Drosophila melanogaster: one gene and its partners. The protein of the gene in region 4 interacts with the protein of the main gene of each other region in a pairwise test. Each region holds a gene or a part of one and is shown on either strand. Other genes may lie near its edges. The genes, in order: Prim2, CG42288, Agpat4 and Teh4.

Region 1 (7,355 bases), about 16 Mb from region 4:
GAAGGTTACCATTTGGAGGACAGAAGTCTTCTCGGCCGCATTCAATACGTTGACTGCAGCTCCGTTCAGGACGCTCTACTCCATGAGGGAATCCTTGAAGCTTTTATCGCTGCGAGGAAATAACTTTGCTGAACTGATTCCAGATGCTGAAGGTAAGCTTGGCCGGGTTAGATCATTGACCATTTAGTCAGTTGTGGGAACCGGAAACGCAATGGCACACGTATTCTGATGTCCAGTTACCATTCGCCGTTTCAGACTTTGCTCGATTTGTAAACGAGTCCCGCTTGGAGGCTAGTAACTCGGTACCACACCATTGTGAACTACTACTTTTACACAATACCACCGATCTGTATGATCGGGAATGCTATCTATACTTTAACAACAACACAAACATGGGACAATCAATCACAACCGGTAGAAACTATACGAACTTTATTAAGGTCTTAAAAGATCGGTTCGATCAGCACGGAAGTTCATGTAAGATCTCAACGCAAACACAATTACACAGCAAAGACGTTTTCCTAAAAGTCCTCATGCCACATTTAATCACAACTTGATATCCGTCATTTCCATATTCCTGGTTTCATATCTGTTAAAAGGTTCTAACTATGTAACTTAAGGAGGAAGGGTTTAATTTTTAAATATCATGCCATAAATACTTCTAACACGTGAATTCCTTATCTGTTTCCCAGCCCAATCTATAGCCTGGGCCACTTTTCCAAAGATGCCCCGACTTGTGGAGCTGGACATCAGCAACTGCAGCATCGAGTACGTGAGCAAGGAGGCGTTCCGGAATGTCAGCAATCTGCGGAGGCTCTTCATGTCGGACAACAAGATCATGACGATAAGCCACGACACTTTCTACTACGTCCAGGGAGTGCAGTATCTCGACCTGTCCTTCACTAACTTCCTGACCTATAGCTACCAACTGCAGTTGCCCACTCTGGAAATGGCCTTAAGCCTGATATACGGCCTGAAGATCCAGCAGAACGTGTTCAAATATCTGCCGGAACTGATTTACCTGGACCTCTCCCACTCGAAAATGACCAGGAATAGTGCGGTGGCTTTTGCCCATCTGGGGGATAAGCTGAAGTTCCTCAGTCTGTGCTACACTGCCATTCCCATGGTGAGCAGTACCATCTTCAAGAATACGGTTCTGGAGGGCCTCGACTTGTCCGGAAACCCCTACCTATCCTACAACATCATCGACGACGCCTTCGATGGCATCGCTAACACTCTGAAGTATTTGTACTTCGAGCGATCGAATATTAAGGATTTAGAGTGGTCCAAGTCGTTGAAGAACCTTCAGGTGTTGGGCCTCGCGGGTAACAACATCAACGCTCTCACTCCCGCCATGTTTCAGTCTCTGGAGTCCCTGGAGATCCTCGACTTGAGCTCGAACCATGTGGGCAATTGGTACCGCAGTGCCTTCCACAACAACTCCGCCCTAAGGGTTTTGAACCTGAGAAGCAACACCATCAACATGCTGTCCAACGAGATGTTGAAGGACTTTGAGCGATTGGATTACCTTAGTCTCGGGGACAACGACTTTATTTGCGACTGCCATTTGAGAGCGGTGGTGGAGGTGGCGGCCGCCAATAATAAAGATGCAGACTGCTCCTATAGACTGCTGAACTATAGTCAGAATGCCGTAGGTGAGGAGGTAATATCTCTGGCGGAGTCACTAATTATAGATCGCAAGCTATGGCAGAGTCGCTATATTCCCTGGCTGCAGAGAAGTTACTCCAACATCAGGGAGTTCAATCGCGCGAATCATATAATCAAGCTGCGCTTCTCCTCCGAGGACTACATGGTAGCCAAGTGCTCCGCGGCCCAGCCATACCACTTAGGGGACCTTGACGGAGATCTTACCCTAAAATTTCAGCTGCTCGACTACGAGGCCAGTCAGTATTACTGCTTCAACAACACCGATCAGCTCCAGGTGGATGAGCTCAACTGCCAGATCAGGTCGATGAGTGACCTCGCCGAGGAGTTGCACCACGTTACGAACACAGTGATCGCAGTCATGGGCAGCTTAGTTGGCGCTTGCATCCTGGGATTTATAATTTATCTGAAGCGCTGGCACATCCACTACTATTACTCTTCCCTGAAGTCCGCTGCCTTGTTGTCCAGTGCGTCCAAGGAGTCGGTGAATAAATTCACAAACATATCCCAGAGAGATCCCAGTGCCGTCTACGATATCTTCATCAGCTACTGCCAGAATGATCGGACCTGGGTGCTCAATGAACTGCTGCCGAACGTGGAGGAAACTGGGGATGTGTCCATTTGTCTGCATGAAAGAGATTTTCAGGTGAAGCGTACTTATCTTACAACATTAACTTACTAATAAAGTGAAACCTTAACCCTTAATTCACATGCAGATTGGAGTGACCATCCTAGATAACATCATCTCCTGCATGGATCGCTCGTATTCCCTTATGCTGATCATATCCTCCAAGTTCCTGTTGAGTCATTGGTGTCAATTTGAAATGTATTTGGCACAGCATCGGTAAGGAATCTTTATCTGTAAAATTCAAATATTAAAATCAATATATGTGTGTATATTGTAGCATCTTTGAGGTCAGCAAGGAGCACTTGATCCTGGTTTTTCTGGAGGACATTCCACGGCGAAAGCGACCCAAGACTTTGCAATATCTCATGGATGTGAAAACGTATATAAAGTGGCCGACGGCCAAGGAGGATCGAAAGCTGTTTTGGAAACGTCTGAAGAGATCCCTGGAGGTCATAGGGATCAACTCCAGAGAGATCAGTGTTTAGAAAACATGTAATTTTATCCGGAGAGTTCTAGTCAGTTGTGCACGTACCTGATATAGTATATAAACTACTTAATTACACTTTCATGAAGACGAAAGTTTCCCCACAGTAATCATAGTAATATGCAAAATTTGCTGCTGAACATAAGTATAGTTTAAACATATATTAATAAATAAAGGTATTTAGGTTTTTAAGAGCTTATGTGATGTTTTTGAAATATCTTAACAAAGGCAATAGCGTCGTATATTAAACATAACCTACTACTACTGGACACTATGTAAACAAAGCTAAGGCCTAAGAAATATCTAACAATGCAACACACAATCAATACATCAGTACCAATTGACTGATAATAACAATTAAAAACGTTTAATTTTGAAATACAAATTGAATAAACCGCAAGCATCGATAATGAGCAGAAAACTATCGATAACAACTGACACAGCTGATATTTGCCATCAGTAGTTTGCGCGCCAAAACAACAAACGGGCATTCCACAAATTGTAAATTACTATAGCAATTCCCGCGACTCACAATGGAGTTTGGTCTGAAGAAACGCGCGAGACATGAGGTGAAGGTGGAGGTGGCCAGCCTGGAAACCAAGTACCCGCACAACGTCATGCTGTACCACTATCCGCCGACGGAGGACGTGCACATAGACGAATTCGAGGAGCTGGCTCTAGAGCGCTTGCGCCTTCTCCGCGTCCTGGATCGCGCAAGCACCCGGAACCTGCGCGTGCTCTCAGATGAATGGAAGGAAATCGTGAGTGCGGACCTGACCCGCGAGGGATTGCGCAGCTATTTAAGGCTCTGCTCCACCGGCGGAAGCGCCAAGCACGAGGCGGATATCCAGACCCGCAGGCGGGACTATCTTTCGCACTTCATCTTGCGGCTGGCCTACTGCCGCTCCGAGGACCTTGCGCGCTGGTTCGTGGCCCGCGAAATGGAGCTCTTCCGGTACAAATTCGCTGCACTTAGCAGCTTCGAGGTGAAGCAGTTCCTTGAGGCCAACGGCTTTGAGATTCACCCCCTCACCGAGGCCCAGAAGGACGAAGTCAAGGACGGCCTGTACGAGAGCACGGTCGGACAGAGCGTGGCGAAGATCGAGCTGTTGGACTTCTACAAGGTGCCCTTCACCCAGGTGCTCGATCTGGTGCGCGGACGTCGCTGCTTTTTAAAGGCTGGCTACGCCTATGTTAACACCCACGACCTGGTGTCCCTAGTGGGCACCAAGCAGCAGGACGAGATCGAGCAAGGCCTGCAGGCTGCTAAGACTATGGTGGAGGATGTAGAAGCCGACGAGCGCATCTCCCGCACACTTAAAGCTCTACATAACTCGTATACCGGTAGGGATTACACCGTTTGTCGGGATGCAGCTGTGCCCATCGAGTCGCTCGATCAGCTCTCCAAGACCTCCATGCCGTTGTGTATGCGCATGTGCCACGAGCACATTCGTGCCAACCATCACATAAAACATAGCGGCCGAATGCAATACGGCCTGTTTCTCAAAGGAATTGGCGTGGCACTGGAGGATTCGCTGCGCTTCTGGCGCGAAGAGTTTACCAAGAAAATGGACGCGGATAAGTTTACACGCAGCTACGAGTACAATATTTACCATAACTACGGAAAGAAGGGTTCCATGGTCAACTACACACCCTACTCGTGCGCCAAGATTATCAAGGATGTGGCGGGGCCGGGCGATTGCCACGGCTGTCCGTATAAGAACATGGATCAGGGCTCGTTGAAAACCAAGCTGTCCTCCTATGGCCTGTCAGCCAGTGCCATCGACGAGGTGATGTTCTTTGTGTCCCGCGGTCACTATCAAATTGGATGCGGCAAGTACTTCCAACTTACCCACAATTCACCCGTCGAGCCGAGCATCAATCACCCCAACAACTACTTCGAGGAGAGCCAGATAGCGATGGGCAACCGGCAGAAGCGCGCCAATGGTTCTGCTCCGCCCAAGGCCAGAATCCGTCCAGATATCAAGGGCCATGGGGATCGGTCCATGCTGATGGGTGACGATGACGATGAGTTGTGGCGAATCGCGGAAACCCAGGAGCGTATCATGCAGAGCCAAAAGGACATATCCGAGGCCTTCAATGATGATCTAGATCTTACGCAAATCGATTACTAAACGTTGTACAACATAAATTAACTAAGGTACATATATATTTAAGCATCGTAAATAAGAAAAGTTATATTATTCCATGGTTCGGACTTCACCTCCGGCACAAGTAGCACGTTTTAAGCCTAGGATCAACAGTGTTCTCCGAGTTTCGGCCGTAAGGGGGCCAGCCATTGACATCTACGTAGTAGATGCCCCTGGCTTGGGGATTCATTCGATAGCCCATCGGGGAAACTATGCCAGCAGAACAATCCCGTTTTCTTAGCTCATCCCAAGAAGCGCACTTCTTGCCCATAAAGTTCTTCTCTTGGTGTGGATATGCACTCTCGGCGAAATACTCAACGGCTCGGGTATGAGAGCATCCGATGGTTAGGCAGCCTGGCTGGATGGGATGTGCTCCGCCGGGATAGAAGTCCACATCACCGAGGGGTCCACGCTTGGCCAAAATACCAATGTTGGTGTGGATTATGTCCACTAGCTTGGCATCGCCACGCGTCAATCCTGGCAGAATCTTTTCCCGCCTGAAACATGGCTTGGCCGGATCCAAGCCAGTTATCCTGGGTATAAGTTTTCCGGTAAGCTTCTTAAAAGTCCGACCAGCAGTGCCCATAATGTGAGCTCCTAGTGAATGTCCTACAAAGAAATCAGAACCAGAATTTATGGACACAAAGGATTCCTTTATGAACCCACCAATCAAGTGAATATTTCGAAGTGGGGTCAGCTCTATAAGGTGGGTCAGACCAACTCCAATATGCTCTCCAATTAAATCCGTGTTCAGCGCCGACCACGCGTAGAAGGTGTCCACATAGTCAGCCGCATCTACAATCTGAGATGGAAGCCTTAGATATGAACTTTCAGAATTGATTCACGAGACGAACCACAAAATTCACATCGCCACGACACATGAATGCCTTAGAGATCATCGAAATGGCCGAGGATTCGTTTACGGTGTTGGTCCATCCGGTGGCCAGAATTACCACCTTACGTCCCTTGCTGAATCGAGAGTGCTTCCACAGCTTCGAGGCCTCCAGCAGGGGCACACTGTAGTTCTGGCACGGCGTCATGTACTGAAAATGCATCTTCCTTATGTCCGGAGTGATTTGCGCAGGGATTCTGTCCATAAAGAGGGTGGAAGAACCTGGCATTTAGATCACAATAAAATCAAATAACTTTTTATATGTTGATAAACACAGGACGTTATCCTTACACACAGCATCAATTATGTTGGAAGCCAATTCAAGTGGAGCAGCTGTGAGTATGTTCGCCTTAATGGTGGCGATGTCAGTTAAAAGTCTAGGCACTGCATCCCACCAGCTTCGCGTCAACCTTCCCTCTTCGTCAACAGCTATATCTCCCAATGCTCCGAGGCGTAATAGGATAACAATGCCACACAGAATCCTCATATCCCTTCTTTAGCACACCGATGCTGGAACTAGTTTAAGTTTTGCAAGTATAGAAATTATCGCTAGTAAAGCGGCCATTGTTCGCTGGTTTTATTGTTCCCAAACTGAACTCGAAAATATTGTTTGCATACCCACTGAAATATTCGTACACTGAGTAAATGAGAGTGTTCTAGTTATTTTCATTAAAAAGTCATGTTTTATTAACCCAAATGCTGAGCAGTCCAAATTTAAGTAACGAACGTATTATGTGCAGATTTTTGTCTAGTTCGATTTCAGCCTTTCTCCGAAATGGTTAAGATTTTTTACTTACATATATATCAAATTAGGCATAAAAAGGTACAACTATAGAATTTAACTTAGAAAAGCGCAGCTAGGCGCCATGTAGTTTAGATATATCTTCGTATTGCACGTTGTCTACAATTCTGCCTTTGAGAGGACCGTGCAATATTTCCACGCTGACTGAATATCTGCGCTCGTCCAGTTTCCTTAGCAGAGCCTCGGATCCCCGATAAGCGCCATTAACCACCATGACAGGCTTGTCCAAAGCGGGGATTACCGTCTCCAAATGAGCCTGGAAAACAAAAAAAAATAAAAACACCTGGGTAAATATCCGTTATAGATTAAAATTGGGTTTCCATCTTACTTGATCCACTTTTAGCTTTTCCCCAGTCTCCAAGAACTTGATTTTGCCCTGATATCTGTCAATTACGTCCAGGACAACCGCTTTTTGTTTGAAGAACTTTTCGCCCATGGATTTGGAAATAAATTTGACCACGATACCCTTGTGCAGCCAGTAGTCCTTGCGGTTGGCACGCTCCTTTTTGCTTTCCTCCTGCTTGATGATCTCGTCCAGCACCGACCGCGTTTGGCTGTCTCCAGCCACGGATTTGGGTTTCTTGAACACCTTTTCTTCAGCTTCAGGGGCAGGTCGCTTGGCTAGAGCGGATTTCCCTAGCACAGTGTCAGGCTGGAACTTTTTCTCAAGGCGAATATCAAGCTTGAGTGGTTCGTTCTCTTCGCGCTTTAGCTCGGTGAACTTCTCCTGGCCT
Region 2 (6,558 bases), on a different chromosome or scaffold from region 4:
CGGGGTTTTCCATACAGTATTTTGCACAGACAAGTGCTCGGCGAAATGACTACATTTGGAAAATTTTTGGAGGCAGCGCCAAAAGTTTTCACAGTAATTCCAACGAAAGACAACTCCATGCCACTTGTGATTTGAAACTACACATTAACTTGGCCTAATTGAGCCATTTCCCATTAACCGAAACCTAACCTAATTGCCATTGTGGCTTTCTGGGCAGTTTTACTGCCAGATTTATGGCGTTTATTCTGTCGGAAAATGCCTTCAATTGATTAAAGTTGCGGCGTTCGTAAGTAACGAGCTTTAAAGCGAACATATCTCTTTTAGTGAGCACACATATACGCTTTCGCTGACCACATTCGCTCACTTGGCTAAAAGCAATTCTTTCGCCTTTTTTTTTTTTGCCTCGTGCACTTCGGGTTATCCTGTCTGTCTGGCTGACTGCCTATCCTTCCTTTTTGGAAAGTTAAGAGCCTTCGATTTGAAATCCCCTTTGAAACGAGCTCAGTTCTTGGCTGATTTATTGTGCGAATTTGCGCGCACTTTATCCAACTTGCTTAAAGTTTTAGTTATGCCAAAGTTTTGCAAATAAAATTTAAGATAAACTTTGTGTAAGTCTTGACTACGCCCTATACTTAAGGTAGGTATTTGAAGTACTTTGAAGTATATTAAACAAGTATTTATGGATGTGCTTCTTAAACTCAAGATAATTATAGAACAGTTGGAATATTTTCAATTACCATTACATGTGGCTCACTTATCGTAATTCCATTCAAAACGTTCCCTACACGTATTTTCCATTGCCACCTTAGACCACAAAAAAAAATAAAATGAGCCACCGAGTAGTCCATATGCGGCTAAGCTTTCCTTACTGGTTTCTTATCGCCACGAGCCAAAGTTGTTTATTAACCAACCTGAACTTCGGGCCAAACAAAGCCCGTTGAATATTACACGCAAAACGACTTAGACACAACAAACCGGTAAGTAACGCCCACCCAGAAATTGAAGAAAAATCCATTGAATACAGATCAGAGAAGCTTTAATTTCGTTTTGATTAGCAGGCGGAAGTTGAGATGCCAGTGGGGCTAACACTCAACGGCGAACTGTAGCAGCGACATATTGGCGAAGTGACTGATTGTCCGACTGACTGACTGACAGACAGACAGATTGACTGATTGATGGTGTGAAGTTTCACTGAAGCTTGGCATGAGCAGCGCGGATCGGTCATTGAAAGCGAATTCCTCACCAGACCCAATAATACATTTATGGAACCCGACGCCATCGTCAGGTGTCCCGATAATGGGCGACGACGACCGATAAAATGGGAAATTATACAGGCACTCTCGTTTGTCTCTTCGGGATTTACTCAACCATTCCTCAGTTATCGAAGGCTCACAAATGGTTGAGCAAAAAGTGCAAAGAAAGAGGCCTCAATTGGAGTGCAAATATTTGTGCGATGATAGCATGAATTGTATTCTTTATGACGGTCTATATAGGGTTCTATGTTCGGTCGCAAGAGAAACCATGCGATAAGATATGCGGCCAGTTTACTGATTGATATACGACTGTGGGGAAGCAGGAAATTTGTTGGTAACCTGCTATGCTTTCAGGTGGAATAAGTAAAGGGAATATGCTAGATTTCCCAAACCAATGGATTAAGTTATTCCAATGATGTCATATTCTTTAGTTTGCAGCATGAACAACTTAATTAGCCCTTGCTATCTTTCAACAAAACACAAACAACATGCTTCCATAAACTTTAATCGCAATTCACATTGCATGCTTATGTAACTCAGGATATTATTCCCCACAAACAAATATCCCCAAAAAATGGTTAAAGCACGCTCAGCTTTCGGTTCCCACACAACCGATCAGAATTTACAACATAATTTACTAAGCTGCACGCTGACAGTGGAACCAGAGCGGCCACGCCCCCTTGCCAAAAAGCCAAAAACAAGGCAATGTCTGTCACTTGACGCGCTGAATTTGAATTGGCCGAAACGAAAACGGAACCGGCACGAAAGACCCGGCCATGCAATTAGCTGGAGGTCATTGTGTTCGGTTCAGCGAAGTTCATTTCAGTTCAGTTCAGTTCAGTTCGATTCGAATCGATACCAGTGTGATTTCAAATCCAGTTCGGTTTCAGTTTGGGTATCGCCCAGAGTTTCCGTTTGCAATTTTGCGGTTTCAATATTGAATTGGGCGAGGCCCCCGCATTGCATTTACGCTTGACAATGTTTCGACAGCAATTTGCTCAACAAATTGCGATTAAATGTATACAATTGATTGACCATTGTTTGGCTTTCATTAGCACAAAGGAGCGGGGAAGTGCCTTTCATTCGGTGAGTAATTTGACGGCATTATAAGGGCAAATAACCGCTGATCTTGACCCCCTGACCACGCATTTACTCATATTTCAAACTAAGTAACATATGTGAATATGTTAACACGTAGTTCTCCTAATCTGTTGGCCATTGAAAAACTAACCTTCCTTGTGACTGACACTTTTTTTTTGCCTCCCCTTGACAGACTGCCATTCAATTGTCAAATATCTTTGGATCTGCAGCGTCACGATTTCCAACTGGGCGCACGACCTCAGACATTGCAGTTGCCGATAAATTGCATTGAACTTCAAAAATTGAAACTTCACGAGGGCCATTTGGCAGCCATTCGAGGGCGGCTGAGGGGGCGTGGTCGTTTTTATGTTGTAAGGGCACGTGTCAGCCTTTGGCTGCATAAAAATTTCAATCAACAACATCTGTTGAAAAATTGCATTGCGATTCCACAGTAATTGGTTTTTTGTGTGATTCAATGCAAAATGCATTTAGTTTGATTGTGAATTTGTGTCTTTTAAGGATTTTGATCCTTAATCTTAGTGCAAGATTATTATTGATTCAAATATTAAATAACTAACGCAAAAATTTTACGATCAACTGTTCCTTGCATTCTGTTGTTTTGGGCGAAATTCATGTAAAAAAAAATCACAAATTTCTGTAGCGGCATGTTTTTTAAAAAGTGCTGCTTTTTCCTGCCCCTCAACGTGGGTTGCATAATCATTGGAGCCATCTTCATAACATTTCACGTTGGGGAGCTGATAACGCATTCGGATGACACCATTTTCATCAAGCAAGTGTCCCACAAATGGTGGGCACCCGTCATCATGTCTCCGATCCTGACAATTGGAACTCTGAGCTCTATACTCCTTGTGTATGCTGCTTCGAAGGTAAGAGATTCAATTGGTTTCTTTCAAGATTCTAATGCTTTATAACATTACAAATGCAGAGCAAGCGAGGCTTTGTCCTTATGTGGATTATCATCTATGCAATTATACTATCCCTATATTTCCTAATGGCCGTTGTCCAGTTGGCCAGGTCGAAACCTTCGCCGATTATATTGGCCGTTCAGGTGTTCATCATAGGTGGGTGTTGGCCATTTTTGATTGAATATGTCTGAATAATGTCTTGATTTTCATACCCCCTAGTTGGTCTCGTTTATTCCCTGCTAATAGTGCTGGCTTTTTATCGATATTTGAGCAGTGTGGATTCTGACGATTCAATTTGATGAGTTGTAAAATAAATGTTAAACTAACGTGTAACTGAATTTAACTGATCTAGTTTACTTCTTTCAGTGTGTCCCTTTTATACAAACTAGATTTTCAACAAATTTCAGTTTCTCAGGAAAGCTTTGAAAATTGTTGTTTAAAACTTGCAGTGCGGCTGAGGATCGGATCAATCATGGCCTGTCGCTGCAAATATCTGAAGCAGATCTTTACCAAGTGCTGCTACTGCTATTCCCTGCGTTTCGGTGTGCTGCTCTTCGGATGCATTTTTCTAACCTGGTTCATTTACATCACCATCGGCACCGGCTTCATGATGGAGTGCATCTTTCCGAACGAGTATCAGAGGTCCCTTATCCCAGCACCGGCGGCCCTCAAGGCCACCATGGTCTTCTCCTTCTTCGGCATCATAGTTTCGGCCATGCTCTGCCTGGGAGTGCACAATGTATGTGATCTGTCTATTATAAATATTCCCAATATATTTAGCATATGCTTATAATACCTCATAATTTTGTAGAACAACGAGATGCTCTTCCTGCCATTTTTGGTTTTCACACCCATTTGGATAATTGTGCACATTTTTGCCCTGACCGTTTACAGCTTTAATACCATCATCATCATCCTGACTGTCATCACAATGTGTGGGTACCCCCAATAATCATGAATCTAAAGCCTAAATTAAGTATACTATTTAATGTTTTATAGTACTTTTAGTGTATGCCTGGCTGGTGGTTTGGTCCTACTACATAGAACTGCTCTTCGCCTACGAAGATGAACTGGAAACCGGTTATGTGTAATAATAGTAATAATAATGATATTTACAAATTTTAGTATGTTGAGCAAGCATTTGATGTGCCTAATAAAATAATGCATGTAGGATACAGAAATACAGATCATAATTTCGCTTGAGCAGAACTCCATACTATGTGAAGTAGACCCCATTTCGGATGTACATATTTCTCCCCGTTTAGTGAGTATTTAGCGCACATGAGACATGCCCGTGCTCTATATACACCGAAAAGACAATGGGTATCGCAGTGGTAATGACAGTGACCGACTTACCTTCGGCAGCGAGGCGAGCACCTGCTGCTTGACATCCCAAACGAGCCGCTCCGATGGGAACTGCAGACACTTGTAGACATTCAGCTCCGGCACATGGATGCGCACCAGTAGCCATCCGTCCCGCGGCTCCGGCGGCGGCTCATCGTCAAACGCACCCGACCCGGACATGGCGTCCGTATTGGCCGGGTTCTGTTTGACTTTGGGCGTGGGTGGGTGGTATGTCGTAATTTTGACGGCTTTCTATCGCACGGTCCACGAAAAAAAAACGAAGCTACTCCCGCTCCACTGGGAGATCTCCTTCTAGCCGTTCTATTCGCTTAATTTGCTCTTTCCTTATTTGGTTGCACTTCAAAGTGATTTGCCTTTGGGCGTGATGAGCTACTAAGTTAATTTATCTAACTTTTTATTGCCAATCTATTTGGCTTTCTTTTACGGCCTTCTGCTGTTGGAATCCGTTTTGTTTGGACATTTCGCTGTGCTGCGTTCGTTGAGTCTGGCGCATGATGGTTCTGAAATGAATCAAATTAGAGGTATAAGAATAAAATATATTATAATGTATAATATTTCCTTTCCGAATCATAATGCATTACCCAATGAAGCTATTAATTTTCACTCCACTTTCATATGCACTAAATATTTTCGCATAAATTTAGTACACATATGCAAATTGCAATCCATTAAAAGCCTGCTCAAGTCCAGACAACAACATAAAATAGTTTCCCCAGCACTTAATTTTTAAATTGGTTTACTTTTCGAAACTGTCCACTGCACTTTTCCTACGCACTTGATGATATCAGTCAGACGGCAATTGGCCCGATTTTCCGAGCCCCTTTTCATGTCTGCAGGCCTATCTAATAGGAAAAACAAATTGTCAGAGTGAAAAGAAAACACTTGGGCTGCCGCAAACATTTCTCGTTGATGATTACAATTTGATATTGACATTTTATGGCTGCAGCACTGCAATGGCAGTTGCAATTGCAATTATGCACAAATTAAATTCACACGCTAGCTGGAAAGGAGGAGGTGCCACACGGTGGGTGGAGGATTGGAGGCATGTAAATGTGTGCCAAAGACCCGCTGACAGTTGTCGCTTTTGTGTTGGGGAGGAGGAAGGGGGGGGGGGGCGGAAAATGGAGCGGAAAAGCGGGCGGAGCGGGACATGTCGAGGCAACTGGAACTGTGGGCGGAACGGGTTAGCCACCAACTGCAGCAACAACCACATCTGCAAGTCTGCACTTTGTCGCATTTAATTGCGAGCGTGTTGATTGCATTCAACTAGTTAGAGTTGGCATTTCGAAAGGGCGGGGGACGGAGATGGCGGGAAATGGGGGAAAACTAGTGTAAAATGGAAATCGCTTGCGGGAAATGATAAATCCTAATTGAGGATAAAAGTTGTGGGTGCTCTGTCTGAAAGATGAAAGGTTTTGCAGTCAAAGGTTGTGACAAAATGAAAGGCTTTAGAAAAAGGTGGAAAAAAGGAAAGCATTTAAAAGTGCTTGTAAAATCCCAAATAAGAAGACTTTACTCGTTGAGTTTTTGTAAGAAACTGATTTTATTTGGAAATATCTTCGGTTTAAATAGGTGACATGAGAATCGCATCTTAAAGTAAATGGCCTACGCAGAGGCCTAAGTAAATAGTCCCCGCCTTATCGAGGTCCCACGCTCGGGCACATCTGCCTATCTTGAGCGGCGAGGACCTTATCTGTGGTCTCCCACTAAGGGACTATTTTAGGAGGCGGGGAACGATCTCAAGTGACTGACTCATGTAGTGTGCACTTAAATTACATGTTTTTGAGCAATGCACCCATGTCGCCTTAGATAACAAAATCCTAAATATAATTTATCGCTCTCGATTCATTTACATAAGATATGAACGGAGCCCAAAATTGTAAGTCTTTAAATATATTCGTGTTCATGTGTGAACATTCTGCCAAAGGGCCAGC
Region 3 (8,492 bases), about 12 Mb from region 4:
ACATGTTTTAAATCATAATTTAAGTAAATCATGATCATTTAAATAATAATCTCAATATATAATACCTATTACTTTAGTTTATTTAAAATCCGAAAATCGTTTCGAAACTTATTTAAATTTGCTTAAATTGAAATATCTAAAATATCCGAAGCCAAGTATTATTTAATAAGAAATATGAATAGCTAAACGCCTTAATGAAATGATTTAATTAGTTTAAAGTTTTAAAGTTGTCGTTTTTACTCATAATTAAAACGGTCGTAAAACTTTAGTACTTTTTTAAAACATCTCCATGTACAAAATGTAAAAAATGACACCTAACTGTCATCAATTTTTTGCTAAACTGTTTGCACACTTTGGTCCCCATAAACCCACTCATTCTAAAGATTATTGACTTTCGCGAGCTTCCACTGTGAAGTGCGAGTATCTGCCCCATAATGACTATCCGTCGGACAGGCGGACTTTGTCCACAGCGGCTGTAGCTATTTCCAACGGAGAAGTCATCGATTGGCCAAGGCTGATTAGATTCCTCCTCCGGCAGCGGCCTTAGCAAAAGCTATAGCCTATAGGGCTATGGGCTATAGCTCCCGCTGATATCTGGCGAATATCTCTGCCGTGCGGCGGTTGCCCCAGTCCATTGCCAGCTGGTGGTGCAGGTGGTTGCCTTCCCGGATTTCACGATTTCTTTTAACTTGGCCGCGTGCTTTTAATTGAAGAAAACGCAGCTCTTGTGTGAGTGCGGGACCTTGTGTAGTGGTCATAAACTAGGTGTTCCACCGTTGGGACCATAAAGTGCGGGTTTACGAGCACTACCGGGAGAACAACCTACAATTAAAGTAGTGATTACGTAAAGACAGCCGTTTTATTGGTTAAACATCGCTATTTGCAGATCAAAATGGGTTCCCTGGAGAAGCTGAAACAATTGAGACTGATACACCTGTGCATCGCGCTCACCTTCTTTACCAGCGGGCTGTGCATCAACTTTATCCAGCTGCTGATGCACGTCTTTATCAAGCCCATAGACAAGCGACTCTTCCGCAAGTTGATGTACTATGCCTGCTATTCGCTTTACTCCCGTGAGTATATCCTGACCAGTTCCGATTCGAAGTAGAAACATAATACCTCCAATCCCTTAGAACTTATCTTCGTGTCCGATTGGTATGCCGGCAGCAAGATGACTGTCTACATGGACAAGGAGGACTTCGAGAAGCATGCCGGCAAGGAACACGTCCTTCTGATCATGAACCATAAATACGAGATCGATTGGCTCAACGGCTGGATGATCTGCGAAAAGTTGGGCGTGCTGGGCAACTGCAAGGCCTATGCGAAGAAGGCAATCCGCTACGTGCCCATCATCGGCTGGGGCTGGTGGCTGGCCGAGTTCGTCTTCCTCAATCGAAACTTCGACCAGGACAAGACCATCATCACCGAACAGCTCAAGGTGGTCTTCTCCTATCCCGATCCCACCTGGCTTTTGCTCAACGCCGAGGGCACTCGCTTCACTCCCGCCAAGCACGAGGCATCCGTAAAATTCGCCCAGGAGAGGGGCATGACGGTGCTGAAGCACCATTTGATCCCGCGCACCAAGGGATTCACCGCCAGCTTGGCACCCATCCGCGGTCTCTGTCCGGTAATCTACGACATTAATCTAGCGTACAGGCCCACAGATAAGGTAATTATAACGGCAAACTTCAAGCACTTCATTTAAGTGCTTTAGTTATATAATACTGTATTTTATTGTGCCATACATTTAATGCAGAATTCTGCATGGCAAAGCTTCTCATGTATATTTTTGATAAGGCTAATCAGCCTGTTCGACAATACCTGTCTGATTGCTTTGGTCTAATCAAATTTCTTTTCGTTTAATCCGATTATTTTGCTCATTTACTTCACTGCCTCTTTTAAGAGTCACGATTTCTTAAGATCGATGCTCTTAAAGATACCGATTAGAATGAGCAAACATTTCAAGGTTAATCAAGTGGTAATTTTTATAACTTATTTTCCTTATTTTGGTTTATTTTCCTTACCTTTGACGTGTCATCAGTATTATTAGCACTTTAGCCAGCATAGCAACCTTAATTTTTTAACTGAGTAATTTGGCGTTCTAATGATAAGTGCATAGAATTTAGCAAATTGCAAATTTATTATGGTTTTAAATTAAACTCGCAGAAGTGAGTTATAAAAGATGCTTATAAAGATACTACAGTTTTAGCTACTAAAAGGCTATTTACCGGACTTAATTAACTTGCAATTGAACTTTCAGACCCCCGCCACAATGCTGAGTTTGCTGCATGGAAAGAGCGTGGAACCGCACCTGCTGATGAGGCGTATTCCACTGGAACAGGTTCCGGAGGATGAGAAGGAGGCGGCCGCCTGGCTGCAGAACCTGTTCGTGGAGAAGGACAAGATCATCGATAGCTTCCTGGAGACGGGCAGCTTCTTTAAGACGTCCGGCATAAAGGAGGTTCCGGCATATGTGAATAAACGCCGGCTGTGCTCACTCGTGAACTTTGTCTGCTGGGCGGTATTCTCTCTGTCCTGCATTTTCTACTACGTGATCACATCCCTGCTGGCGGCCAACTGGACGGCCTTTATCACCGCACTTTCCGTCCTGGGACTTTGTAAGTTTGGGGTTCGATCTTTAAGGAGGATGGCACTTTAGACGGCATTAGCCGTTCATTCTTTAAGTTTTAAGAACTTTTTGGAGTGTTAAATGCTAAAGTTCATATATAATGACGTCTGCATGGTTATAACAATAATATAAGCCGCGTTCTAATGTGTTCCTACTCCCTCCAAAACCTTAACTTTTGTAAATCTTATTAATATTCTTTTTTTCTTGTTACAGTTTACTGGCTCATGGGTCAGGCCATCAACAAGACGCAGATCAGCAAGGCATCTAATTATGGATCCTCCAAGTCGGTCGCAAAGTAACTTTCGAATTCGCATTTAGTTTCGATTGTCGTCGAACTCAATTATCTACAAATGACTTTGTAAAAGGCAGTCCTCTCACAAATCTCTCTGCTAAATGGATCAATTCGTGATTCCTATCCGGACGATTTAAAGTGTTTTGCATGTTTTTCTTGTCTAAGTTTATAGTTACGAAGTAACTCCCGCACACTGGAGCCATCAATTTGCGTACGTAGTTGGTAGTTGTACACCTAAGTGGAAATTTAATTGTTTGATCAATTGTATTTTGGCGAGCATTGCAATAATTAAATTAAACAGAACGTGAGAGCGTGAGTTTGTTGTTGTTGTTTTTTGATAAGGCGTAAGGTAAGCAGTGCGCTGATAAGGGCTGCTGATAAGTGTGGACATGCAAGCAGTGCACCTAAAGAGTGACCTTAACACAAAATACCAACAGTATTTCTAAACTGGATACTTGAAAATTACACACATACGTGTGTAAAATAAATGTAAAATTTCGAATACATTGTTTTTGAGATTCCCAGAAATGCTTTCAAAAGTTACCTTTTGAACAGGAAGGAAATGAGCAATAAGCAAAGCATATTATCCAAATATTTGTGTTTATCAGCATTCTTCCTACACGTTCGTTTCTTTATCAGTTGTAACGATCAGAAGCAGCACACGTTCCGTTAGTTCGACTGCTTGCCCTTGGCTATATGATCAATACAACCACACGCCAAGCATAAAATCGCCTTTATTCGCCGATAAGCAGTGTCGCCCATTCCAATTGACTGATAACAGGTGATTAAAAGTGTTAGTTGTGGGTTTCTGGGTTGTACTATCGACGAGATCCATATCACTAGGGGCTCGGGCCGCCTAGAAGAGTCACTTTCATTCAGTCGAATTCTACTGGTTGGTAGAACAAGTTGCAACTTCCTGGTCTCTAATTGTTAAGATTCCGCTTAGATAGGTGAGTGAGTGTGTGTGTAAATGAGAAAGTGGACTGTCGCAAAGTGAAACTGAAACGTGTTGAGTTCAAAAACTAGTTGTACTTATGGCATTGTCATTATCATTGCTTCTACCAAATTTGATAAAACAAAATGAGGATTGTACAGCTTAGTTCGATTTTCCTCGTCGAACTATGCAATAAAAAATATCTTAGTTAATTATGAAATGCGTTGTACTGTTTTCCCGATCCAACGATAAGAATTCAAATTACTAGTGTCTACTGTACCAATACCGTGTGTTGCGCGTGGGTGTGTGTGCGTTTACGGTACTATAATTTAAGCATTTCAATTTTCATGACACATTGGGAGCAAAGTTTGAGTACTGGCCATATAATAAAATGTCGATATCGCGCGCTGGACATATTTATGAACTGCATTGCAGACATGACTTTCGATTACGTAAACGTTTCTCCAACGGACTGAATTTATTGAGTTGCGTCTATTCTTAGCCTAGGATGTCGCATCTCCGGGGTTTGGGGCGACTGCTGATCGCCGTGACCTTCTTCACATGCGGATTCTTCGTCAACATTGGCCAGCTCCTGCTGATTCTCCTCGTGAGGCCCTTCGATAAGAAGCTATCCCGCAGTCTGGCCTACTACCTGCACTACTCCTTCTATTGCAGTAAGTAACCATCATATTAATATAGATTATCATATCATTATGAGTATAAACGTTTCACATTTCATTCACATTAAGTATAGTGTAGTTTTCAGCACACTTCCTGTTTTCCTGATTAGATTAGGTATATGCAAGGTCTTCTTTTGTATAAATCACTTAGTTTTTACATTTGATGATTAAATGAAATAACGTAAAAGTGGTACTTTTTGATAATTTAAAAACTATCCTCACACTTTAGTCCTTGTCTGTGTGGCGGAATGGTATGCGGGCAGCAAGCTGAGGGTGTACATCGATCCCCAGGACGAGCAGAAGTTCTTCGGCAAGGAGCATGGACTGCTCCTGATGAACCACACGTACGAGATCGACTGGCTGACCGCCTGGATGATCACCGACAAGCTGGGCAATCTGGGAGGCACCAAGGCGTATGCCAAGAAGATGCTGCGCTATGTTCCGGTCCTGGGATGGGTCTGGTGGATGGCCGAGTTCATCTTCCTTGACCGCAACTTCGAGAAGGACAAGGTGGTGATCAAGACGCAGCTGAAGGAGGTCTTCTCCTATCCGGATCCCGTGTGGCTACTGCTGAACGCGGAGGGCACCCGTTTCACACCCGCCAAACACGAGCTGTCAGTCAAGTTCGCCGAGGAGCGAGGTCTTCCCCTCCTCAAGCACCATCTGATTCCGCGCACTAAGGGATTCACGACCAGTCTGCCCACCATGCGTGGCATCTGTCCTGCCATCTACGACATCAATCTGGCCTTCAAGAAGAATGCCGAGGTGAGAACTTAAGATCTCATATATATGTATATATATTTTAAATTACATTTTCGAACTTGAATTAACTTACAGCCAAAGCCCACCATGCTGTCCCAGTTGAACGGAGAGCCCGTGGAACCGTACATGTACATTCGCCGAGTGCCACTGGACGTGGTTCCCGATGACGAGAAGGAGGCCGCCGCCTGGATGCAGGACTTCTTTGCGGAAAAGGACAAGATCATCGACAGCTTCCACGAGACCGGCAGCTTCTTTAAGAATTCCGGAGTCAAGGAGGTGCCCGAGAAAATCTACAAGCCGCGCCTGAGCACGCTCCTCAACTTCTTGGGCTGGGCCACCTTTGCCGTCCTGTGCATTCTGCACTACTTGGTCACCTCGCTGGTTGCCGGCAACTGGTTTGGCTTCATCACGGTTCTTTCCATTTTGGGAGGATGTAAGTTGAGAAATTCTAGTTTCGAGGATATGTGCTTAACTTTACAACTTGTACTTCCAGTCTATAGCCTCATGGAATACGCTGTGAATGCTTCGAAGATCAGCAAAGCCTCTGCGTATGGAGCAGCTGCTGCCAAGAAATAGATTTTCATACCTGAGTTTTATAAACTCTGCAACAGTTTTGGAATATACGACCTATGGACTAATAACTCAACTGCACTGACCATAGAAATATTATGTACATTGAATATGTACGATAAACCATTGTAGTTAACTGAATAAAATAACATTTTATGCGAAATTCACTTACAGGAACTAAATGATTCTTAGAGGCAAATATTTAATATGTGTTTGTACATCCAATCGAAAAAATTTCTCACAAATTCACTTACAAGAACTAAAAGTTTCTTTGAGGCAAATATTTAATGTGTTTGTACATTAAATCGAAAAGATTTCTCAGTCTTCTACCACTTATATAAACGTCGTAGTTACAAAGTTTAAACTTCTTGTACTTTTGTTTTTCTAATTAGAACATGTGTTGTATATTTTAGCCATTTATACAATAAATGCTATAAAATTAGGTTATCGAATTTCAAATATAGATAGTGATGTCCAAAACGATAACTGCTTATCGCAATCAGCTGAGAGCGCCTAGTGCGACCCTTCGTGTAAGCAGTGCAGCAAGACATTCAACGTTTTCAGCCAGCTGGATTCAGTATTCCGCCGCTCGTCACCTGCGGTCATACTGATTGCAACTTCCCAAATTTCTTACAATAATCCAATGAAAATTAAAAAACATATTTTCGTACCTTTAATGCAATAATATGTGCATTTTGAAGGTGAGTCAGTGCAGCACCAGTGCCAAAAATTGCATTAAACCAAGTTTGTGCGAAATCCACGAAGCAGAGTGAAAAGTGAAACGTAACGAAAAAAACGTTGAGAGAGATTTTCGTGTAGTTCATTGTTTTTCCTGGGGGATTACTTGGTTTCAAGGACCTTTCACTGGCCTGTGGCCCTACTTTTCGAAGGTGCCATTCCTTGGGTTGGCACAACCTATAGGATACTGCCCGAAATTCCCTTTGTTCGCGTCTCGAAAGAAAGCGGATGCTTGATGACGTTGAAAGCGAGTTACGTTTGTGTCCCCCATAAAGGCAGTTATGCGTGTGTGTGTGAGTGGCTCTCTCTCTCTGGGGTCTCAAAAGGAATATTAGCGATCCTTTGAGCACTTGAAGATCCGAAAAAGTTCTCCAGGAAGTGCAACTGGGGTATAAAAATATATAGTTGCTATATATACATACAGATATACTTGCATGCGTGTACAAATGCCCTCGCACACAAACAGCAGCAGACGAGTGTGCGTGTGTGTCTGTGTGGGGGGAGCACGCGAGTGTGTGCGTGTGGCGACAGCTGACGTTGGGGGTAAGGCAAGAAGAAGAAAAAGACGAAAGCGAAACTTTTTACTGTGCCACTTTTGATCGTTGTAAAAGGAAAATAAGACTATCTTGAGTCACGTCACTTTCATCGTTACATCAATTCGATAATAACGAGCATATTTTATGGGATATTAGATCTTTACACGATTTACCCTTTTATAGATCGATAATTTAAGTATTTATAGGTGGGCTCTATACAGATCTTATTGTGATAGATTCCATTAAGACTTATAGATGTAGGCTGCCACAAGTCTGTTTCAAATATTATACTTCATTCTCAGAAAAAACTAATGTTTTCCATAAAGTTAAATCTGATAAGGATATACATAAATTGAATTACCCATAGAGCATATGTGTGAACATTTGTAGCATGATTTCTTTACCCAAGATAAGAAACATTACTCATTCATGCTATGAAATTTTAAAGGCAGTATTACTTCCGCCATTCCTACAATATATATGAATAGAATATGTTTAACAAGCCTGATTCGGGTAATTTGTTCCGATTTCAATATCACCAAGATTCCATTAAAATAAGATTTTCCTTACCTTTTGGCTTATTTTATTTTAATTGGTATTTTTATGTAATTTACGCACAGCATGCCGATTCAGGCTCCCTCATGGACAGATTTTCTGAACTGTCCCATCTGCTGCAATGAATTCGCGGCCAGCCAGCGATGTCCGGTCAGTCTGGGCTGCGGGCACACCATCTGCAAGCTATGCCTGACGACCCTCTACAACCGGCAGTGTCCCTTCGATCAGGTGAGTTGAACTCCATTTAAGTATTGCGCCAACCCTAAACGATCTGCCCTAATCTCTTTTCTCAGACCGTGATTGTCAGTGACATCGACAATTTGCCCATCAACCATGCCTTGCTCCAGTTGGTCAAGGACTCGGAGCTCCTCGAGCTGGCACCACCACCGCCCAGTGTGCAGAAGCTGGAGCCGGAGCACCTTAAGTGTTACCAACTGGGTCAGCGGTGCATCGAGGAGCTGGCTTTGCACTTGAAGTCCTTCCTCAACCTGAACGGAAATGGCAATCTTCTAACTCGACCCATGTTACGGAAACTGGTTACTCTGGTCAACTGCCAGCTGATGGAGGAGGAGGGACGGGTGAGAGCGCTTCGAGCAGCCAGATCCCTAGGCGAACGCACAGTCACCGAGCTGATCCTGCAGCACCAAAATCCCCAGCAGTTGAGCTCAAATCTGTGGGCTGCAGTGCGGACAAGAGGATGCCAGTTCCTTGGACCCGCCATGCAGGAGGAGGTGCTCAAACTGGTGCTGCTGGCCTTGGAGGAGGGATCAGCGCTTTCGCGCAAAGTGCTGGTCAT
Region 4 (9,202 bases):
AAGAAGAGCTCCACGCTGACCACGACCACGTCGATGCCGGCGAGTCCGACGCTCTCGGCACAGACGCTCTCCGCCAGCAAGATCAGCCTGAACAGCAGCCGTTGCGGCTCGGCGGGATCGGGATGCGGATCCGCATCCGGTTCGATGCGCTCCGCCTGCCAATCACCGGTGCGGCCGGGGAGCGGATGCGTGGACGCCATCAAGGCCAAGCGCGAGGAGATCGAGATGGACACGCTGCTCGAGAAGGCAAAGTTCTATACCTCCGTGTGCCTTGGTAAGATTACGAATGGCTGTTGCTAATTGACTTCTTGAATATCCTATCTAACTCACATTCTTCAAAATCACCAGGTACGACTGCCATTTTGTCGGTGTTCACATTCCTCTTCCTGATACCCTTCGTCGTGGATCCCGCCATCTCAACGATCATAGCCGACTATGATCCAGTGCCGGTGACCTGCATCGTCATCGACCATATCTACGCGGAGGGCATCAAGAATTGCAGCTGGAGCTCCTGCCGCGAGGGCTGCACATCATCACTCACCAAGTGGGTATCGATATGCCTGATTATATCTACATACTAACTCCTCTTATGTCCAGGTGCCATCAGTTGTTTGTCAACTATACGCGCATCCCGTTCAGCGAATGGGAGCGCAATCCTCGGGACCTAGACACGGTCAACTGGGATGTGAGCTACACCAAGTTTCTGATCAACTCAGAGGGTTGTGGCTATCCGCCCACGACCAATTGCAGTATATTTGCCAGGCAATATGGGTGAGTTCGCATATGAATAGTAGCCATGACAACGAGAGTCCTAACCCTAATCCTTGCCAGGTTTTCACACATCGGAGAGCCCTTCCCCTGCTTCTACAGCAGGGCGTATCCGGAGGTGGTCATCGGTCGGTACTCGTGGGAGAACAATCTGTACCACCTAATCCTTTCGCTGATCATACCGAACGTGCTCTTTGCCATCTCGATCGGGGTGCTCAGCTATTGGTACTGCCCCTGCTGCGAGAAGGCGTGCAACAAATCCTCGCGGGTCTACGCCGAGAAGTTCCCGACCAAGGAAGAGTGAGTGCTATTCCGTACCAGCTGTCCCGCATCTTGTTCTCATTCATTGCGAAAAGTTTGGCAAATTTGAATTCCCCGTATTCGTATTCGTATCTGTATATTGTAGTAGACACTCACTCAGATCCATGGACCATGTACTCATTGTGCCTTGTATGAAGATATTGTCGAGAACCAAAAAAAAATTCCGTTTTGTCATGCTGTATCCTCCTCCTATGATTGTAACGTCTTCATTTTGTTAATTGTTAAGAAATTGGCCAGATCCATAAGTCGAACCATGAATGTAACTCTTAGTTTTCCAGTTTATTTACTTCCCAAAAGCCTTTGTATTCTATTAGCTTTTGTTATCTTCTCTTTACTACTCTATATTACTTTCAGGATCGTTAACTGCATGAAATGTAACACGGAAAAGTCGTTGTCCTTGAATGTATTTTGAATATGAACTAAAGCGCGAGTGCCCGACCTTTGATCCCCAGAAATGTATTGTGATAGGTTAAGTGCGATGGTATTTGCTATAATCCCTGGATCCCTCGATCCAGATATCTTGCACATATTGTGTGGCACCCAGTCCTAGCTAGTCCACTGAAAAAAAAAAAACACCCGCATCTATTTGAAGCCCAATACAAATTGTTACTCTGAAGTGTCCTTAGCAATTACTGCCTTTCTTAATATTTCCAATAGTAGTCTTGTTTTCTTTATCGCACAAAAACAAAACACCATTCGAAAGGAATTTTAAACACACGATCACTCAAAAAAAAAAGAAGATATACAATCAAAAATCACAAGAAATATACTCAAAATATTAAAGGTCTAGGCTCAAGCAATACAGATAAAAACAAAAGGTTTCTTTCAGGCTAAAACAAAATTTAGTTAACACTCGGGATCGCAGCATTTCCCTTTTTTCTATAATCAATAATGATATAATAACATATCGAATACCCTCAAGTTTTAACGATCTTATATTAGAATGCCTTTAGAAAATGTTTTGCATGCTTTTCTTTTGATCTTTAATGAATGTTTGTTAATTTCGAAACTAGCTAGAATGGCATGATCCGTTTATCCCAATCTATTTAGCATAATATATATACCGCTTATATCTGACTAGCATTGATTAAGAAATCTGTTCCAATCGCATTCCAATTCTAGCAAACTTCTGTGTCACAGTGACGAAGATGATGATATGGAATACTAGCAAAAATAATATTAGTTAACGCCCTTAACAAATAGCAAATTCAACTTTGTAGTCTGTACCACACATAGCTTACCTAGATATATATATATATATACAAGCATATAGAATTCCATTTGCCATCACATCGGACGATATATACATATATATATAAATCAAGCGGAGCATCGCCGAAGGAGTCACTTTTTCTCAGCCAATTTATTAAACATTTGTGCGCTCAAGAGATTTGTTAACATACACTTTGCCATCATATTGTTATGCTAGTTATATGGAAATTTGGTTGCTTCAATGGCTTTTTTGGAGGCGGCAGCGATGCTCCAATCTCGACTTCGATTTTCACAGAGATAATACCAATACCAATTAATGAGTCGCTTGTTTTCAACAAATTGTGATAGTAGTCATAAAAATATTAAGTAAATTCGTAAAACTAACTAAAACGGAAGCGAAAACCAAAGAAACCAATCAAACAAACAATTGTATAGAACCGAATCCGCTCCAGGCCGCTCCAAAACACGGCGAAGATTCATAAAAACGGGGCGGTACGAACTCCAAAACGAAATAAACCCAGAAAGATAGATTAACCACAAAATACCAGATACAATCCATTGGGGATAAGCAGCGGAACCAAATTATTCACTCACACACGCTCACATTGGGACACTCTCAACATTTTTGAAATAGTTTTAACGATCTTATGTAAAAACCAACATCTAAACGGATTATAACAGTATATATATAAACTTATATATATATATAGATATATACGTATACATATAGCTTAGCAGAACCGATATAACGCACGTTGCTTATGAGAATTTTTTAAATCATACAAACCAAACCGAAGAACAAACCAATTTGAATGCAAAACGATTAAAATTTTTTACTTAACGTGTCTTTATCAATAAACAAATTAAACCAGCTAACGGCCTATTTAATAAACAATTCAAAAATGAAAGAAACCAAAACAAATGTGGAGAAATGCTAAACAAAACCCAAAGCTGTTTTCATTTACGAAATTTGGGGAGAGAGTAGCGCAAAACGAGGACAAATGAGGTGGAGGGCATCCTCTCCAGGCGCAGGCGTGCTTCCCAGGATCCGGAACCGTTTGTTGAGCTGGCTCCATCCCTGTCCCGGTTTTTTTCCATTTCACTCAAGGGCTTGTTTTGGCCTGGGCCCCACCACTTTCGCTTTCGCTTTCGAAAAAGTAAAAGTGCGCAGTGTCCTTTGGCAGTCCTGGCTATCCACACTCCTTCCGCTCCGGGATTCAGTCAGGACTCTGTTGCCGTCGGGAGTGGACGTGCGAAAATCGGCCAAATAGGCGACTTCAAGCCATCAGAACGCATCCATCAAACATTTATTGCGTTTATGCGATGCACTTTTCACGCACTGCGTTTCATGAAAAGTGTCAACACGCGTGTGCATAAACGAAAACAAACGTTCCAATGAAATGCGTGAAAGGGTGAGTCGCAACCCTGGAAGCTCCGAGTGATTTAGGTGGCAACTCCGTCCGCAAATGAAGAACAAATTGAACAAGTCGTTAACTGGTTGAATCTCGCCTTGTCGGCGTTTGAACATAAGACGTCCCAGATTCCCACCTGACATTCCACATATCGCTAACCCACCCCACACGTCCGAGTAATTTTAAATTCCAATGAGCCAAGCTAAATAAAATAGAACGGCACAAGCCACAAACACACCCACCACCACCCCAAACAAACCACCCACCCACCCGAGCAACCACCACCCACCAAACCCAAAAGGAATCACCTTGAGAACGGCGTAGGGTGACAATACATAGGTGGAGCAGGGCCGGAAGTGGGCCACCAAATCAACAAGTCGTAAATTAGCCGAGCACTAGGTACTACTGAACCCACACCCAGGAACCACTACCAGGTGGATAAATGGGGCGGCGCAAGGACAAACCGCGGGTGATTCCCGAACAGGATGCGCGCATCTGTCGCGCCATCTGCCTGTGCCAGCTGACCATGGTGCTGTCCTGCGTGTCCATCGTCTACCTAAGCGTGGCCATCTACTCGCCCTCCCTAAAGTGGGTACCTACTTTATAGCCCCCCTCTAAAACCCATAACCCACTCATAACTTGGTATTGTTTCTAGGGCCTTCAAGTCCGGCTTCGAGCTGGATCCCGTCATGTGCCAGACGGTGGATCGCCAGATGCCCAACAACTGCCCCTGGGCATCCTGCGGCGAGTGGTGCCTGACCAAGACCAGTGGCTTTTGCCCCCAGATCCACTCAATAGTGCGTCGCAACGGCACCGATATCCAGCTGAACAACTGCACCAGAGTCACCAACACATCGTGCGCCATGGTAAGTTTATAGCATTTCCCTTAGGTGAAAGGTTCCTAAGCAACAACTGGTTAACTTTTGTGACCAACTGTAGCACTGCCTTAAACTGAGCAAACTAGTAGAAGACGTCATCGTCTTGGGCATCCTGCTATAGGAAAAGTTCTGCCATGACTCATTCTTTGCTTTTGGTGGAAAGACGATGAAGCGTGTCAAGTATTTGCCCCTCCATTTTAATAGCCACTTGGCGCCACGAGAGTTTAACGATCAACAAATGACCATTATCCTTCTTTTGTTCTCTCCCCACAGATTGACCTGAGTCGGCTGAACAAGTTCAATTGCAACAACGGCACCGCCTGCAACAATATCAGAGGCGTCTTCAACTGCTCCAATGGTAAGTTCCATACTGGAGACCCCCTATGTGAATTTTCAATTACTGATTGCTTTTCACCTTGCAGGACACTGCAAGAATATGTCGGAGTTCTTCTTGTGTCACCACAAAGCCGATGGACTTACGGTCAATTCGCAGAAGGATAACACCAAGCTGAATGGATTCTTCGAGTGTCACGGGGTGCACTGCACCAAGATCAAGAAGCCCTTCAGCTGCGATCGCTACTGTTCCAAGATAACAACTACCAATGTGAACACCCTTATTATGCACGTAAGCTGGAAATAAGGATAAAAATAACTATATAAAATGGAAGTAAAATCCATAATACTTTTAGGAGGATAATCTTATTGCCGCCGATTGTGAGAACGCAGTGGCTTTCAACCAAGCCCGAGGATCCGAGCACGGTGTGCGTATCGAACCCTTTGAGTTTTGGAAAGAGGATGATGGCAACCTGCTGACCAACTGCGCCACAGTCACAAGAGAGTCGGACAATCGCATCACGTAAGTCTAAAAGCATCGAAAAAGATTTTGCCTACAATCTGTTATTCCAAAAGTGCCACGGACTGCATAAATGGAACCCTCCTGGAACATGACACCTTGCCCGCTCCCTTCATGAACTTCACCCAGTTTTGGGCCATCTATGAGAACAGCACCAGGTCGGTGGATCCCGAGCAGAGGTACCTGCCCAACCAGGCCAACCTGACCATCTACAGCTGGAAGAAACTGTTCATCAACCTGGAGGGCTGCGTGAACACACTGCGTGGGGAGTGCAAGGACTTTGTGGCTCGCTATGGCAACGATGGCGATAACAACACCGCCCAGTCACGCTACCAGTGCTACTATAACAAGGTTTGTGGGGGATTAAACTCCATTTGAATTCCAGTTCTGGTATCAGTTTACCTGACGTTTCTATTACCTCTCACAGGACTCGAATGTGGAGTTTGTGGTTGCACGCTACGATTTGGACAAGGTTTACAGGGAGCTTCTAGTCTCGCTGATTGTGCCCATTGTGCTCTTTGTGATCTCATCTATATCGTTATGTATCATCACCAAATCCGTCAAGGTGGGTGGCTTACTTCGAGAAGAAATCAGATGAATTGATCTTACTATATAATACTTCTATCTTTTTTTCAGGTGGGTGACGATGCCAAGATGCGCTGTGTTTGTGCCGGCGATGATTCAGATAATGATGGCCCCTTTGGCCCAGGACTAGCAAACAAGCAGCAGGATCAGATGTACGATACAGACGACGATGTAGTTGACCTGGAGCACCAAGCGGTGGATGGTCAAGAACTATCGGACCACGGACTTCCGCTGGACAACCAAGAGCTAATCGGTAGCACCAAGTCGTTGATACCAATCAGTCCCGTCGGAGAATCCGGAACTAGTGATCAAATCTTTGACCAGGATCAGGAGAAAGCAACTACGTGCGATGTTCCCGAGAAACCACTAGTCATACTATAAGCGGATTAACCGCATCGAAAGAAGGATACAAAACAGCACCAAACTTTAAGGACCTGTGCATTGTACAAGGGGAACTGAATTTAAATTCTAATCAGCGCATTTATACAACGTTTACAACAACTAACAGATTAATGAAACGGATCTTTACTTTGCTTGGTTGAAAAATGATAATCACACATATATAAATACTGGACATATAGCTCCCAGATGAACAACGATGGGATGGCCGAGCTTTATATACCCGATCCCCACTCTAACCGTTGCAGCAGATGGGCCTTAGACATAGTTGCATTTATATAGAGTATATAGCATAAACCAACTGACATCTGCTGAACGAAACCAAAGAAGAAAACACCAGGACAGACCAAGGATATAGGCATCCGACTCGCCTTAACTCTCGACTTTGTAGCTATGCAATATTCAGCGATTTCTTAAACTAGTTTAACCGGTGGAGCAATAGTACCTACTTATATCTGATATACTTATACTCGAATTATAGCAAATAAAACACCATTTGGAATTCTCTCTACAAAGCAAAGGTCCTACCTTGAGTTCCTCCTGGCGGCGATAGGCCTCGGCCATCATCTGGCGACGCAAGGGATCGGAGATCACGGCTTCGCGTCCCGGTGGTCCTTCACCAATTTGATTTAGCTTCACGACCACCTGGTTAAGTATTAGGATGGGTTATGAAGGAAATATATTTAGGATATCAAAGGGACAGTTACCTTGGTTTTGTCGTTGTGACCCAAATAGTCGCTCATTAGCTTCCCCATCAGCATCTGGTGTCCTGCAAACCAGAACTGAGCCTTGGACGGTTCGATGACCTCCTTGGAGGCCTGGGTGCCAGTCAGATCCTCGGTATTGGTGAACTCCATGCGTATGGAGTCGTGGGGCGGCAATTGCATGGGATATACAATAGTGACACCACCACGCAGGAGGTTCAACGCCTCCTCAACGATCTTTGGGGTCAAGGTCTTTGAGGATTTAGCTAAGCGCTAGAGGGAATGTTGGTAACCATTTAGCAAAAACAGTTCTAGGGATAAACTTCGAGGAGACATTACCCGATCCACCATAGCCTTGGCGTCGTTCATGGCACCTGCCAGGACCTTTTGCATCGCCTCAGTTGGCTGCTGTCCGTTACGGCGAAGGAGCGGATCCTTGTTGATAGTGAAACCACCAGACGGGATGCACTTATCCGCCCAGACATCCTTAAGCTTGAGCTCTTCCCTCTGTTCCTCGTTGAGGCCAATCATTTCAGGCGGCACCATGGTGCCATGTTCGGCCAGCTCCTCAATCTCCATGCAGACACGCTGAATCTTCAGTTGACCATTGTGCAGAGCCACAAGCTCGCGAAGCACAGTATCAGTCTTCTCCTTAACGCTTGTCTCATAGAGGAAGATAAGCTCGTCTCCGCGTTTCACCTGAAGAAGCACCATTTCGCACAGAAAATATAGTCACAAGAGCAATCAAGTGTCGATCGACTGGATAGCAATTTGCTAATGTCACAAAAGCCGACAGCTGGAATGGCAAACAACTCGGTTGCTAGGACCCGTATCGATGGAGACGTTAGAGAGGGTGTTTCAAAACAGACAGAAGTTTATTTTAGCGCCTTGTGTCGTAAGGTCTTGGTATTGCACAATGCGTTTACTTGCTCATTAAGTTCCGCTCACAAACTCCTCCAGATACAATAAATACTATGCTAACTTACAATAAACACCTGCATCCTGCATGGGTTATTTTTTTGTCATTTGGTTTTTTTTAGGGTGATACGGTGCGCTAAAGTACAAGTAGCCTAGGGTAATAGTTTGTATGTACAGGGAAGCAGCTATCCTGGGGTTACTAGCCTCTGGCCTCAAAAATGTTACGAACTATGGGAGGGAAACCGCATTCAGTAGGAAGTCCAAGACGCAGCCCCAGCGATGTGCGTATGAATTAACTAGCTGCTCATGTGAGGCGAATGAGATCCGGCTCGTCGCTCGGTTAGTCCAGTCTGGATGGGTTACCTCAGCACGCACCGGAAATTCTCCATCTCGTATATACTGTTGGATAGTCTGCAAGCAAGTGTATAGATGTAAGTATTTTAGAAATGCCATTTTATCATTTAAAACGCACCTGCCAAACGCATTAAATAGAGCTACAATCTCTGTTCGCGACAGCCTGAAGATGGGATCCGCTTCGATGTGCGGCTTGTCCCACAACCCGCTTTCCGTGGCCAGATTGAGCTTCTCTGAGTAGAGAATCTTTAAAGCAGTACCCAATCCCTGCGTCTGCAGCTTCCCCCACAGTTTGCACTTGTCGCAGCCTACGCAGCTCATGATGCGGGATATGTTTCGGAACTTTTCCTTATAGTCGTGCTTGAACTTAATAGAAGCGATTCCATTACTGAAGAGGGCGTTCTCGTCGAAGTGGGATTGAAAATTTCTACAAAAAGAAGCTAAATTGAAACATTGTAAGAAAAAAGAATATTCCTATACTCACTCTATGACACTCAACATATCATTGATGGCTAGTTTAACCTCATCATCCTCCTCTGCGATGCCCGTGTAGTAATCTTCTCGCCGCAGATAAGGAGCAGCCTTAGCCAAGGCGCGCAGTTCTATCAGATAGATGAAGTAGAGGTTTCGCAGCCAGTGCGGACCTTCACCGCTTGTGGTTTCTGGACTAAAGCGTCGTTTAAACTCCTTTACGTTGGGACCCCAGATGCCCTGCGGATCTAAGAAGTCCTTTGACTCTGACAGCAGGTATTTGGAGCACAGATGAATGTTGATACTAGAGTGCAGGCCAGAAATAAT

What was found.
Region 1: the proteins of Teh4 (region 4) and Prim2 interact in a two-hybrid assay, tested with the Drosophila melanogaster proteins (one large-scale study listed by BioGRID).
Region 2: the proteins of Teh4 (region 4) and CG42288 interact in a two-hybrid assay, tested with the Drosophila melanogaster proteins (one large-scale study listed by BioGRID).
Region 3: the proteins of Teh4 (region 4) and Agpat4 interact in a two-hybrid assay, tested with the Drosophila melanogaster proteins (one large-scale study listed by BioGRID).

What each region holds. Positions count from the first base shown.
Region 1 is NT_037436.4:20,357,463-20,364,817, reverse strand, and holds Prim2 (DNA primase subunit 2), read left to right. Parts: upstream 1-3,232; 5' UTR 3,233-3,310; coding exon 3,311-4,912; 3' UTR 4,913-4,985; downstream 4,986-7,355. Other genes in the region: Toll-9, read left to right, coding at 1-152, 256-477, 693-2,311, 2,382-2,509, 2,571-2,778; CG5665 (uncharacterized protein), read right to left, coding at 4,998-5,729, 5,782-6,041, 6,111-6,306; kin17, read right to left, coding at 6,677-6,877, 6,950-7,355. UniProt on the Drosophila melanogaster protein: Regulatory subunit of the DNA primase complex and component of the DNA polymerase alpha complex (also known as the alpha DNA polymerase-primase complex) which play an essential role in the initiation of DNA synthesis.
Region 2 is NT_033778.4:14,087,378-14,093,935, forward strand, and holds CG42288 (uncharacterized protein), read left to right. Parts: upstream 1-3,653; 5' UTR 3,654-3,731; coding exon 3,732-3,998; intron 3,999-4,070; coding exon 4,071-4,194; intron 4,195-4,258; coding exon 4,259-4,350; 3' UTR 4,351-4,437; downstream 4,438-6,558. Other genes in the region: prosap, read right to left, coding at 4,616-4,783; CG42287 (uncharacterized protein), read left to right, coding at 2,999-3,220, 3,280-3,415, 3,479-3,558.
Region 3 is NT_037436.4:16,376,508-16,384,999, reverse strand, and holds Agpat4 (1-Acylglycerol-3-phosphate O-acyltransferase 4), read left to right. Parts: upstream 1-3,429; 5' UTR 3,430-3,702; intron 3,703-3,818; exon of another isoform or gene 3,819-3,871; intron 3,872-4,357; exon of another isoform or gene 4,358-4,362; 5' UTR 4,363-4,363; coding exon 4,364-4,529; intron 4,530-4,764; coding exon 4,765-5,300; intron 5,301-5,372; coding exon 5,373-5,730; intron 5,731-5,790; coding exon 5,791-5,873; 3' UTR 5,874-6,026; downstream 6,027-8,492. Other genes in the region: Agpat3 (1-Acylglycerol-3-phosphate O-acyltransferase 3), read left to right, coding at 887-1,073, 1,134-1,669, 2,261-2,618, 2,843-2,928; roq (roquin), read left to right, coding at 7,763-7,924, 7,990-8,492.
Region 4 is NT_037436.4:4,172,597-4,181,798, reverse strand, and holds Teh4 (tipE homolog 4), read left to right. Parts: upstream 1-3,528; 5' UTR 3,529-4,155; coding exon 4,156-4,301; intron 4,302-4,368; coding exon 4,369-4,579; intron 4,580-4,864; coding exon 4,865-4,949; intron 4,950-5,013; coding exon 5,014-5,216; intron 5,217-5,280; coding exon 5,281-5,447; intron 5,448-5,500; coding exon 5,501-5,795; intron 5,796-5,871; coding exon 5,872-6,009; intron 6,010-6,080; coding exon 6,081-6,410; 3' UTR 6,411-6,940; downstream 6,941-9,202. Other genes in the region: Teh2 (tipE homolog 2), read left to right, coding at 1-274, 349-544, 598-771, 832-1,068, 1,444-1,501; CG18675 (uncharacterized protein), read right to left, coding at 6,957-7,073, 7,136-7,405, 7,472-7,846; Ero1L (endoplasmic reticulum oxidoreductin-1-like), read right to left, coding at 8,410-8,461, 8,523-8,831, 8,889-9,202.